Linked DNA regions of Mus musculus. The protein of the gene in region 1 purifies or fractionates together with the protein of each later gene. This does not show direct contact. Links are inferred from orthologs where the notes say so. Each region holds a gene or a part of one and is shown in the gene's direction. Other genes may lie near its edges.

Region 1 (3,646 bases):
GTCTCTGTTGTACCGCATACATTCTCCCTGCTATTCTTCACTTAATGTATTCTAGCTGCTTCTGTGTGTGTGTGTGTGTGTGTGTGTGTTCAACTTAAGACCTTGTACATATTAAGCCAGCTCTACCATTGAGCTGAACTCTAGCTCCCATGTTTAGGTGCTTCACGGTTTACAGTTTGCACAGGATTTCACTGTGGATGTGTGGCATATATATTAAGTTACTGTGTTTTATCACTCGTTAAAAAGAATAAGATCAATAAAAAAGTATCAGGGTTGTTTTAGAAATCCATCAAAACAGGGTTTCACTCAGCTTTGCCCTGTGCCTCATGAACTGTCCTGTGGGGACTAACTGACTTTCCAAATAGGTTAGCTAACTGACAGCAACTAGGTCTGCTGTCTACTTGAGAGACTGCAAAAAACAGATTATGTGTGTAAAGTAGTTTGTGTTGTTTCCAGGTGAATGCTTGAGATGCATGTTCTGGAATAACCTTGGTTGTATCCATTTTGCCATGAGCAAGCACAATTTGGGGATTTTCTACTTCAAGAAGGCTCTGCAGGAAAATGACAACGTCTGCGCCCAGCTCAGTGCGGGTGGCACTGATCCAGGTGAACAAGCACTGGGGACCTGCAGTGTCCTCCTTGACACACGTGGTTGAAATAGCAAGTGTCGGGGAGGGATCTGGGCGTGGGTGATACATTCAGGGCTTGGAGGATGAGACAAGATGTCCTAATCAAAGGAATAGCAGTCATCCAGTGGGAGAGTAATTCCGGCCTCAGAGAGCAGAGGTGAGAGGTCCTGGAGCAAGCTGACCAGCTCATTCGGGAAGCTGCAGCTTAATGAAAAGGTCCTGCCTGCAAGAATAAGACAGAAGGATGACTGACGAAGATTCTCGACCTCAAGCTTGGGCTTCCACATGTGTACACACACACACACACACACACACACACACACACACGAAAACACATAGACATAGCAGAAAAAAAGAAAAGACCAAAACATTACATTACCCTCAGTTTGTTATGGACTTGAATCAGTAGTCCTGAGTGGTATGCCATCCAGTTCTGATTAGTCATTAGGATTTCTTGACTGTGGGCTAATATTATAAATTGTTGGCAGAACTTCACAAGTGATGTTTTGGTGGCATCTCAGAGCCTTAAAGCTGGCTGGAGAGATGGCTCAGTGGTTGAGAGCACTGACTGCTCTTCCAGAGGTCCTGAGTTCAGTTCCCAGCAACCACATGGTGGCTCACAACCATCTGTAATGGGATCAGATGCCCTCTTCTGGTGTGTCTGAAGACAGTAACAGTGTACTCACATAAAATAAACAAACAAATAAACAAATAAATAAATCTTAAAAAAAAAGCCTTAAAGAAACTTGCTGAAGTTTGTCATTTACGTTCAGATTATATGGATCTTTGATCAGAATTTAAAATCAAGCATCTTTGTAATTTTTAAAACCATAAACACCTATTTAAGTGATGAAAAATGTATTTTAAATGGCAAGTGGTAGTCTTGTAGACTCTGAGTCACTGAGAAAGTGTAGCATATGGTAACAAAGTGGCCAAGCGGTCTGAAGGAGGGCAAGGTGCTGTAGTTCAGAAAGCCAGTGACTCACTCAGCTCTTTGCCTCCCTGAAGCAACACTGCCAGAAGAGCTGGCCCAATCCTGGGCATTTGTGTCCTTCCTAGTACAGACATCTGACATGAGTGTCAAGTACTTGGGGAGCTAGGCATGGAGAAACCACCTCAGAGAGAACCATTACAGTGTCACATTGGAGTCACTGGTACTAAATATGGAAGTGTTTACTTGTCTATTCTCCACATTTTATCACAAGGCAAAAAGTTTTCTGGAAGACCCATGTGTACATTGCTGACCAACAAAAGATATGAGCTGCTCTACAACTGTGGGATCCAGCTGCTGCACGTCGGGAGGCCTCTCGCTGCCTTCGAGTGTCTGATTGAAGCTGTTCAGGTGTACCACGCGAATCCTCGTCTCTGGCTACGGCTGGCTGAGTGCTGCATTGCTGCCAATAAAGGGGTGAGTGCTGCTTGAGTAGCTCTTTGAGTCTCTGTTTCTCCTCTTCTACACTTGGTACATGGAAAGCAGAAGATACTTGGGACTGGAGAGATGACTCAGCGGTCAAGAGCACTGACTGCTCTTCTGAAAGTCCAGAGTTCAAATCCCAGCAATCACATGGTGTCTGAAACCATTCGTAATGAGATCTGACGCCCCCTTCTGGTGTTTCTGAAGACAGCTATAGTGTACTCACATATAATAAATAAATAACTTAAAAAAAAAAAACCTGGGAATCTAAGACCTCATTTCCATTTTCACTGCCACTGAATGTAAGTCTTCTGCTCACAGTCACTTGCTTAGCTGTAATTCTTGGCAAAGGTTGATGCCAGTGAGGAGTCTGTGTCAGAACAGTGAGGCGTGGTGGCTCCTGCTAGGGCTGCGCTGTGCCGTCTGTAAGCAGGAGGGTGGGCTCTGTCCCAGGGGTCAGAGCACCTGGCTCTGATGGAGTGTGCACAGGAGTGCATTAAACAGCACTCCCTCCAGTGAGGCACGTGACAGTCATGCATCTTCTCGGACACACCGGTCCTCAGTGTCTGAAACTGGGCTGCCCTGAGCTGTTCTCTCTCGGTCGGTAGCAGCCTCCTGAGTCTCTGGCTGAGCGGGGTCGGTGTGAATTGGGTGAAATAAGAATTACCAGGTGTCTGAGTTCCCCTCACCTCTCTTCCCTTGGTTTGTGAGGGGTGGAGCAGTTGGCTTCCTAAGGCTTGCCCGGCACACTTGTCTGACATAGGCTACGAAGGATACTGAGGCTCATTATTGAGCAGCATTTTCTGATGAGCAGCAGGTGAAAGAGCCAAGGGTTTAGAAGAAGCCTGTGCGGGGCAGTTTCACATCCAGGGTTTCAGAAGTTGACGTGAATGCAGCAGAGAGGGGACTAATGCTCTCGGAAGACTTTGATGATGTATTGAAAGTTAGAAGGGGGAGGGAGAGGAGAGAGCCAGGGCAGGCATGCACACATATGGACGAGTGCTGGTTCAAACTCAGAGCCTTGTTCATAACAGGAACGTACTCACCCTCTGAGCTGCTTCTTTAGCTCTATGCTTGGGGTTTTCCTTGTTAAGATTTATTTTTATGGATAGTGTGTTTTCCCTGCTTGTGTATGTGCTCACCACATTCGTGCGCAGCCTGCAGAGGCCAGAAAAGGTCATCAGAGCCCCTGAAACTTGAGTTGCTGTGTGGGTTGCTGGAAACACTGGGATTCCTCTGCAAGAGCAGCGAGTGCTCTAAACGACTGAGCCAGCTCTTCTGTACTTCAGGGGGGTTTTGTTTGTTTGTTTTTTAAAATTTATTTATTATATTACGTATACCGTAGCTGTCTTCAGACACCTCCAAAGAGGGGATCAGATCTCATTACTGATGGTTGTGAGCCACTATGTGGTGCTAGGATTTGAACTCAGGACCTTCGGAAGAGCAGTCAGTGCTCTTAACCGCTGAGCCATCTTTCCAGCCTCTGTACTTTAGTTTTTAAAAAAGTTTTTACAAAAGGCTTCAGGCAGGGGCTGGTGAGATGGCTCAGTGGGTAAGAGCACCCGACTGCTCTTCCGAAGGTCCAGAGTTCAAATCCCAGCAA
Region 2 (3,191 bases), on another chromosome or scaffold:
GGGTATGTGGGTGACAAAGCCCCATTCTCAGAGCTTTCCTGAGCAGTCATGGGAGACAGACATAGGCTGTGGGGTATCTCATGGCAACAAGAAACTGCAGCAGCCATCAATCAGCTCCTGGTTTATGTTGAGATGCTCCTCTGGGGTGATGTAGGGCTCCGGGTCAGCAATAGCAATGCTGTTGCTATTGTTTTGAGCAGGACACTGAGATCCTTGATAGTGCCATGTATCGGAGTCGTGCCAACCTAGGACGTAAGCGGGGGCACCGGGCCCCAGCCATCCGGCCTGGGGGTACCCTGGGACTGTCAGAGACAGCAGACTCGGATACTCGGCTGTTCCAAGATTCAACCGGTACGATCAGTGTGTTAATTGAATGGAGTCTGTGTCAGTGTCTGGCTTGTGTGTGGGTAAGGGTGGTGTCTGGCATGTTGCTCAGGTCTCGATTCACGTTCCCTAACGTTTGCAGAGCCAAGGGCCTCCCGGGTGCCATCTTCAGATGAGGAGGTTGTAGAGGAGCCTCAGAGCCGCCGGACACGGATGTCCTTGGGCACTAAAGGGCTGAAAGTCAACCTCTTTCCTGGCCTGAGCCCATCAGCCTTGAAGGTACCGTCTGATCATTCAGCACACACACCCAGCCATCTGGCCTGCCAGCCTTCTACCCAGCATTTCCAACCAACCAGCCATCCATACAGCCATGCACCTTATAGTCCCTTTTCTCATCTCTACTCTCATTGTGGGTTCTGGAAGGTTACCTTGTTCCTTGCTCGACTCTATGCAGTGTGCCAAGTTTGATGGAAGAAAGAACAGGGTGTTCTTTCATCTCAGGGCCTCCAGGGTAATGGGTGGGGGTTGAAGGGTGGGCATAGTCTACACCCAGGAGTAGCTTAGGTGAAGGGCGAAATGTAGGAATAAAGGGGGGAGTACAGCCATGGCCTGGCCTGTTCAGTAGAAGGAGTTACTTCCTGACCGTGGCTGGGAACGGGAGGTGGCTTGGGTAGGGTTTCTTGTAAGCAGTTTCTCCTAACCTTGAGGTAGGCACAGGAGTTGGCTCTGCGGTAGGAACAGACAAGTAAAAACATAGGTGTGAGAAGTCACCCCTCTTTGTTCAGCCTTGTTCACTGAATTTTGTTCATCTGTCATCTTTCTGATGTGTTCAGGCTGTGAGGATCTGCTCTGAGGGAGACAGATCTTTGGCTGTCTGTAGAAGGTTCAGGCCTGGCTCAGGGGACTGCACACTCTTGGGAAAGGCCTGGTCTTCTGAATCTTGCTGCCTGTTTATATTTCATCTGTGTCTCCTAGGCCAAGCTACGCTCCCGGAACCGCTCAGCTGAGGAGGGGGAGGTGACAGAGAGCAAATCAAGCCAGAAAGAGTCTTCCGTCCAGCGTTCTAAGTCCTGCAAGGTCCCAGGGCTAGGGAAGCCCCTTACATTACCCCCAAAGCCAGAAAAATCCTCAGGGTAAGTAACACTTCTAGGTACTTTTTTTATTTCCTGTGGTTCGGGTATTATCCTCAGAAGAGGAAACCTATTTTATAGAGGTGGAAAACTGAAATTAATTGCTTCATGTTACGTAGGGGCACCCAGACCTGCAACTGAACCCGACTGCCTCTTTTGATTGGAGGGTAGCTGTTCTCACCTTGTTCAGTTTCTTTAAACTTTGCTTTTGTGACCTTTGTACTCTGCCTTCCAGGTCAGAAGGATCGTCGCCCAACTGGCTGCAAGCCCTGAAGCTAAAAAAGAAAAAGATCTGATCAGGGGCCAAGGTGAGGCTGTGCTTCTGGGCTTGGGGGAGAGTAGCGCCTGGTATGGAGAACTTGGGAGGCCCTGTCCTGTGCTCTCTTCTAGCCCTTAGGTCCCCTCTTTCTGTGAGAGGTTGGAGGAGACAAGGGAGACCTGGTTAGGTCCCTTGGCTCCTCTAAGTTTATTCCCAAGGCTGGTGTTTATCCTGGCTCTGAAGAGGGGGAGGGGCTTCCATACCGGCCTGTATCCTATGTGTTGGACAGTCTTTCAGGTGCTGTGGTTGCCCCTATGTGTTGAGCTAGACTGTGCAGCTTAGAGCTTCTAACCTGAGGTCCTAGCAGGGACCTCCTCAGCACTGGGCTCTCATGAGGGAATCAGGATGTCCAGAGGGCAGAGGAAGCAGGGGCCTCATCTCTTCTCTGACCTTTGTCCTCTATTCCACCCAATGCAGGTCCTTCCCATCTGGCAGTCTCAGGCAGTGCCATTCCTGTGGGGTCCCCAAGTGAGGAGACAGCTGGAGCCCCACCAGGGCTCAGACTGCAGCCTCCTTTCCCCTCCACTTCTGAGGAGTGTCTGGGAGGCACATTTATGCACTTTGTATCACCGTCCCAACTTCTTGCACCCCTTCAGCCCCCAACTGGATTCCCGTGCCCAGTGGTGGGAGGTCTTGTCCTTCCCTCAGTCTCTTCCCTTTACCCTCTTTGCTTCCATCTTCTGCCTCCCTTGGGTTTTCTTTTGATACCAATTTATAGCATTTTTATAAAAGCCTTTGATTTTTGTAATGGGTGGGCTCCCACCCCAAGCCCCACCCCAGGTCTCCCTCTGCCCCACTAGGTGCCCCACAGAGACCAATGACATTTTACCACTTGAAACAATGAATAAAGTTTTTTGGGAATTGGGGTTGTCCAGGATTGTGGTGTGTGTGTGTGTGTGTGTGTGTGTGTGTGTGTGTGTGTGTGTGTGACTCGTATTCCCCCACTGTGGGGCAGCATTTGGAGAATGCTACTTCCCCGCTGTGTGAGCTTAGCTTTTCCTCCCTGTGACAAACTATTTAAACACCTCAATGGAAGAACGACATGGCTTCACTCCATCAGGGCTGGGGGTGGGGTGTAGGGGTTAGAGGGCAGGCTAGAACAGAGCAGAGACAATATGGTATCTGGGAAGCAGAGAAACCTTTCGTTTTGGGGCTAGTGGGTTTCTTCTTGCTTTTATTCTACCTGCTCCTCAGGCTGTTGGGTAGTATCGGGGACATTCAGGCTGAATCTTCCCTTTCTGGAAATGCCTCCTTAGACCACAGAGATGTGTGCTGCTAACCTAGGCTCGTCTTGGTCCAATGGACTTAGCAAGCATACTCCAGCTGCCAGGAACTCACTCAGATGTCTGTTAGACACGTCACTCCCCTTCCATTCTCTGAGCCTAGTGTCTCTGCAGGAGGGTATTCCAATTTAAACA
Region 3 (4,135 bases), on another chromosome or scaffold:
TATTTTGCTCAAAGCTGTAATTTCTCCAGCCTGCTTCCTACACAGTGCTTGGCCAATAGCTACATGATAAATACTTCCGGTGTAATGACCTTCTAAGTGCCACTCCCTTCTCTGAACTCCTGTAATATTGGTCTATGTCATTCTTGAGAGACTTACCTGGACGCTTTCTTTGCTGGTGGCTGTCCCTGCAAGCTTTCACTTGACTATAAGCTCAGAGGCCTAGGGCACAGTTTCCCCTCAGATGTTTTCTGATCTCTTCTCAGGACCTGATATGACTCTAAACGGAGGGTGAGCAAGCCGTGTAGGGGGTTGTTATAAACAAAACGTGCAATTCTAGGGCTCCTGAGTTCTAGATAACAAAACAAAATTCACTCTTTTGAACAGCAAATTTCTGGTTGGGGCTGCAGTTAAGTGGAAGAGCTTAGCCTAGCCTGCCTGAGGCTCTACGTTCAATCTTCAGACCTGAAAACAAAGAGGGATTTCTGAGTCACTATATGATTCGAGAGAGATACTCATTTAGGGAAACGGGCTGATTCTCTGTACATAATGTAAAAAAGTATATGAAACAGCATTTATTGAACCCAAATGTTCTAGTCTTCTTACCCGGGTCTTTCCCACAACTACTCTGGTAGCTATGAAGTGCAGGCAGGGATCCTTATGGCTTATTCACTTGTCATCTTTTGGTACCTAAAAGCTGCCCGCCTGGTCCTGATAGCAGGTGTTCAGCAACAGGGGCGGCAGAGCCGGCTTCCCCATGCAGGTTCCGCTCGCTCTGTAGGGGCCGGGCCTCGTCCGGCGCACCAGTTCCGGGTCCGGGTGGGTTGCGGAGGGCCGGTCCCCTCCTAGTTTCGGCGCCTTCCGCATCCTCCGCCCAGGGGAACCAGTGAACCGCTCCACCCTCAGCTAGCCCGCGTCCTGCAGCTGCGAGAAGCGAGGCTGACAGTCAGAGGAGGGACGCAAGTAGACCCAGTCCCTCCGGAACGCCACAGCCCTGGCCGCGCAGGAGCGTTGCGCCTGGCCCGCCCCTCCTGAGACAGGACACGCCCACTCGACCACAGGGCCTGCCCCCGTCCCCGCCCCCCGCGCGGCGCTCCATACTTGGCGATCGCTGCGGCCCCGCGCTCTCATTGGTCGGGAGCTGGCGGCTGGGGGGCGGGTCGGGCTGGCCGGGGCGGGGAAGGAAGGTGGTGGCTGCCCGGCGCGGGGGGGTGGGGGGGGGAGGGGGGCGCTGACCCGGATGTTCACTCTTGGGCACCCGGGGAAGTGGAAGCGCAGGGCCCTGCTGCGGGGGGGAGAGCCACAGACGCCGGGACAGGGACCGTCGCCGCCGCCGCCACCATGGTAAAGGGACCCCTTCACGGCTCCATCCCGGGACCCCTCTCACCGCCGGAGCTCGCGTCCACTCCTTCGCCGACCCGCCCGGCCCGGGAAGGGTGGGGATCCGGGGTGGGGGAGGGGCGGGGTCCCGGACCCTAGGCAGACGCCACTCTTCGGGTCCGGAGTGGGCGGCGGGAGGCCCTGATAGCCTATGACCCCGCCCTGGGCTCCATGTGGAGCCCAGTTCTTCTCCCTGCAAGTCCAGGCTAGTCTCGCCTATCCCAGGCTAGACCTTCCTTCCTTCAGGGGCCAGGCCGGGCACCCCTCTCGCAGGCCTTCATCCCATGGGCTGTACTTGGGCTCCTGCCTCGGCCCCAGGGCCCAGGCTAGGACCGTGGTTCTCGCTCCAGTGGTCCAGTCTAGGTCCCCTTCCCCCAAACTCTTCTCCTCTCCATGGCCCCAGTCTGCACCCCGATAAGCCCTTTCCAGTGAACTCTGCCTAGGTTTGTTTCCTTCACCGTCATGGAATCTTCTCTCTGCGGTCGGTCCTCAAGTGTGGCCTCTCTACTCCAGCTGTGTTCCCCCCCTCCCTGCACCTCCCTGTCCCCGGCCCTAGCCGTCCCCTTCCCCCGACTTCTCACGACTTAGCCTAGCCTGCGTCAGCCCTTCGCTGCTCTCACCCTCCCATCTAGACCCTGCTTGTTCCGTGTCCTGCTCCTGACCCAGGTGTCCCCTCTCCTGTTCCTAGGAGGCTCTTTCTGGGCAGCCTCTGGCGAGCGGGGGAGAGCCCCAGCCAGGGTGGGGGTGGTCTGGGTACTGAGCCTTTCCTAGGTTTGCCCCTTTCTGGGGAGGCCGCTTCGGTGTGAGTGAGCAGGCGAGCGAGGGAGAGAAGGGCGGCATCTGTATGCCCGGAAGGCAGAACAGGGCATTTCCCTTGGGAGGGCCTAGTGGTAGTGCGGCTAATAGAGCGCGTCTTGAGGGGTGCCCTGCCTGAGTGGGGAGCAGAGTGCTGACGGGTTGGTAAGCCAACTGGACAGGGGTGAACTCACAATTGCTCTTGTGAGGCCGCAGCCCTGGGGCTAGGGGGACACGGAGCTCAGCAGCCCAACCTACGGCCTGGACACGATGCATCCTAGCAGGCGCAGCCTTCCTTTCCCCCTGAACTGTCAGCTTGTTAGAGTTGGGACTGCTGATTATGGAGGTGCCTCGGAGCAGGTGAGCAGAAACTCACAGGCCGGAGAGCTCCCGGACTCCACTCATGGTGTTTGTTTTGGTAATGAAGACAGGCACACTATGCTAGCAACTTATTTGAGGAGCCTTAGATGTGTCACTTCCCTCCTCCCCCATACCCCTGCACCCCCTAATCTACCTGGATACCTGCAGAGCAGGCCCACCATCTTTGGTGGTGGAAGGGCCAGAGAACTACCTCACATGGTCAAGGAAGCCTTGTAAGGTAGGCTGAGAGGGAAGGCAACCCACCTGCTCCGTGTAGCCTTACAGGTGGCTCCCCTCCTGCCTGGTCGATATTTAGGAGGGGATTTTGGACCCTAGATGGTTTTGAGGTACCCTGTGCCTTGTTTTAGCAAGGGTGCAGCAACTGTATTGGGGATGACTAAGTCTGATTGGCTAGTAAACTTTCTATATATTGATTAAAAGCATAGGCAAGACAGGTTTTCATGTTATTGCTCTTGGCTGGAAACGGGCCTGGGGGTCTGAACCCCTGACCTTAGTCTGCAGGGGGAAAGGACTTGTCCAGGACAGTTTTGGGTGAGATTCTTCAAAGTAGACTGAAGTTTTCTGTGTGTACTCCCAGCACCAAAGCAGGAGAGGGTGGTGGAGTGGCCAGATGGGACTTAGTCTCCACAGAATCATCTAGGCTTTCGCTTTGTCCATCTGACAGGTGAAGAAAAGCTGGGGCATTCATTGTAACTCATTCAAAATGTTGTTGCATCTGTGTGGAGAGCACTCTTGGCCAGTGGGAGCCTGCCTAGCAGCCTCCAGACTGCGGTCTTCCTTGTCTGCTGTTGTGTGTCTGATATAATGACACTGTTGAAGAACCATAATGATGGGATGGATGCTCAGGCCCAGCCAGGGAGAGCAAGTGCTTACCTCTGCAGACTCTGGGTGGCTCTCCTGTTAGGAAATGGCCATTTTGAGACAGGAGCATAGCCTATGGGCCTGATCCCCGAGCTCTTAGGGGACAGAGATGTTGGTCTTGTGTTTTCTGCCCCTGTCTATCTGGTCCTAGAACAGTACCTAACTCTGAAAGATCTGTCGTGGAAGGCTGGGCGTGGTGCCACATACCTGCAGTCTCAGCTGTTTAAGGCATTCAAGGCCAGCTTGGGCAACAGTGAGGGTGAGACAGGAGATTGCTTAGTGTGATCTGGGATGGTCTGTGAGCGCAGCCACCCAGGTTTGACACTCGTTAACTTGTTCTTCATGTACCCCAACCTCCTAAATGTTTTCTGACTGCCTACTATGCTAGTATAATCTGATGCCCTAATGTGGGTAGTTTGGGCAAACCAGAAGTGGCAGAGTGGGGCTGCATCCTAGGTAATGAATGAAGAGGACCATAGCTCTGTTTTCAGTGGGTTGGCTGGTAGAGCAAATGGCTAGCCAGCTCCAGTGTACCCATCAGGGGGAGAGATTTGAAGTGCATTTGACTTTGGAGTGATTTTTCTTGGAGTCAAGTTAACTGTCCCCAGTAAAAGTGCTTAGGCAAATGGGGTTTATTTACATCCCCTTAGCAGACAGTCTTACTACTGTCCTTAAGTGCTTCACAGTGTCAAAGCCCTGACAGGGCTCTGGTTTCTGACTT

The links.
Region 2: the proteins of Cnot10 (region 1) and Tnks1bp1 purify together in Homo sapiens (affinity purification with mass spectrometry; 4 studies listed by BioGRID and IntAct, with this or other methods). This does not show direct contact. The link is inferred for Mus musculus from reciprocal best matches to the Homo sapiens genes CNOT10 and TNKS1BP1.
Region 3: the proteins of Cnot10 (region 1) and Capzb purify together in Homo sapiens (co-immunoprecipitation; 3 studies listed by BioGRID and IntAct, with this or other methods). This does not show direct contact. The link is inferred for Mus musculus from reciprocal best matches to the Homo sapiens genes CNOT10 and CAPZB.

Annotation. Positions count from the first base shown.
Region 1 is NC_000075.6:114,616,183-114,619,828, reverse strand, and holds part of Cnot10 (CCR4-NOT transcription complex subunit 10), read left to right. Parts: intron 1-456; coding exon 457-606; intron 607-1,834; coding exon 1,835-2,037; intron 2,038-3,646. UniProt on the Homo sapiens protein: Component of the CCR4-NOT complex which is one of the major cellular mRNA deadenylases and is linked to various cellular processes including bulk mRNA degradation, miRNA-mediated repression, translational repression during translational initiation and general transcription regulation.
Region 2 is NC_000068.7:85,070,407-85,073,597, forward strand, and holds the end of Tnks1bp1 (182 kDa tankyrase-1-binding protein), read left to right. Parts: intron 1-200; coding exon 201-351; intron 352-466; coding exon 467-603; intron 604-1,299; coding exon 1,300-1,457; intron 1,458-1,689; coding exon 1,690-1,750; 3' UTR 1,751-1,762; intron 1,763-2,190; 3' UTR 2,191-2,642; downstream 2,643-3,191.
Region 3 is NC_000070.6:139,191,688-139,195,822, forward strand, and holds the start of Capzb (F-actin-capping protein subunit beta), read left to right. Parts: upstream 1-1,211; 5' UTR 1,212-1,338; coding exon 1,339-1,341; intron 1,342-2,313; exon of another isoform or gene 2,314-2,442; coding exon of another isoform or gene 2,443-2,532; intron 2,533-4,135. UniProt on the Homo sapiens protein: F-actin-capping proteins bind in a Ca(2+)-independent manner to the fast growing ends of actin filaments (barbed end) thereby blocking the exchange of subunits at these ends.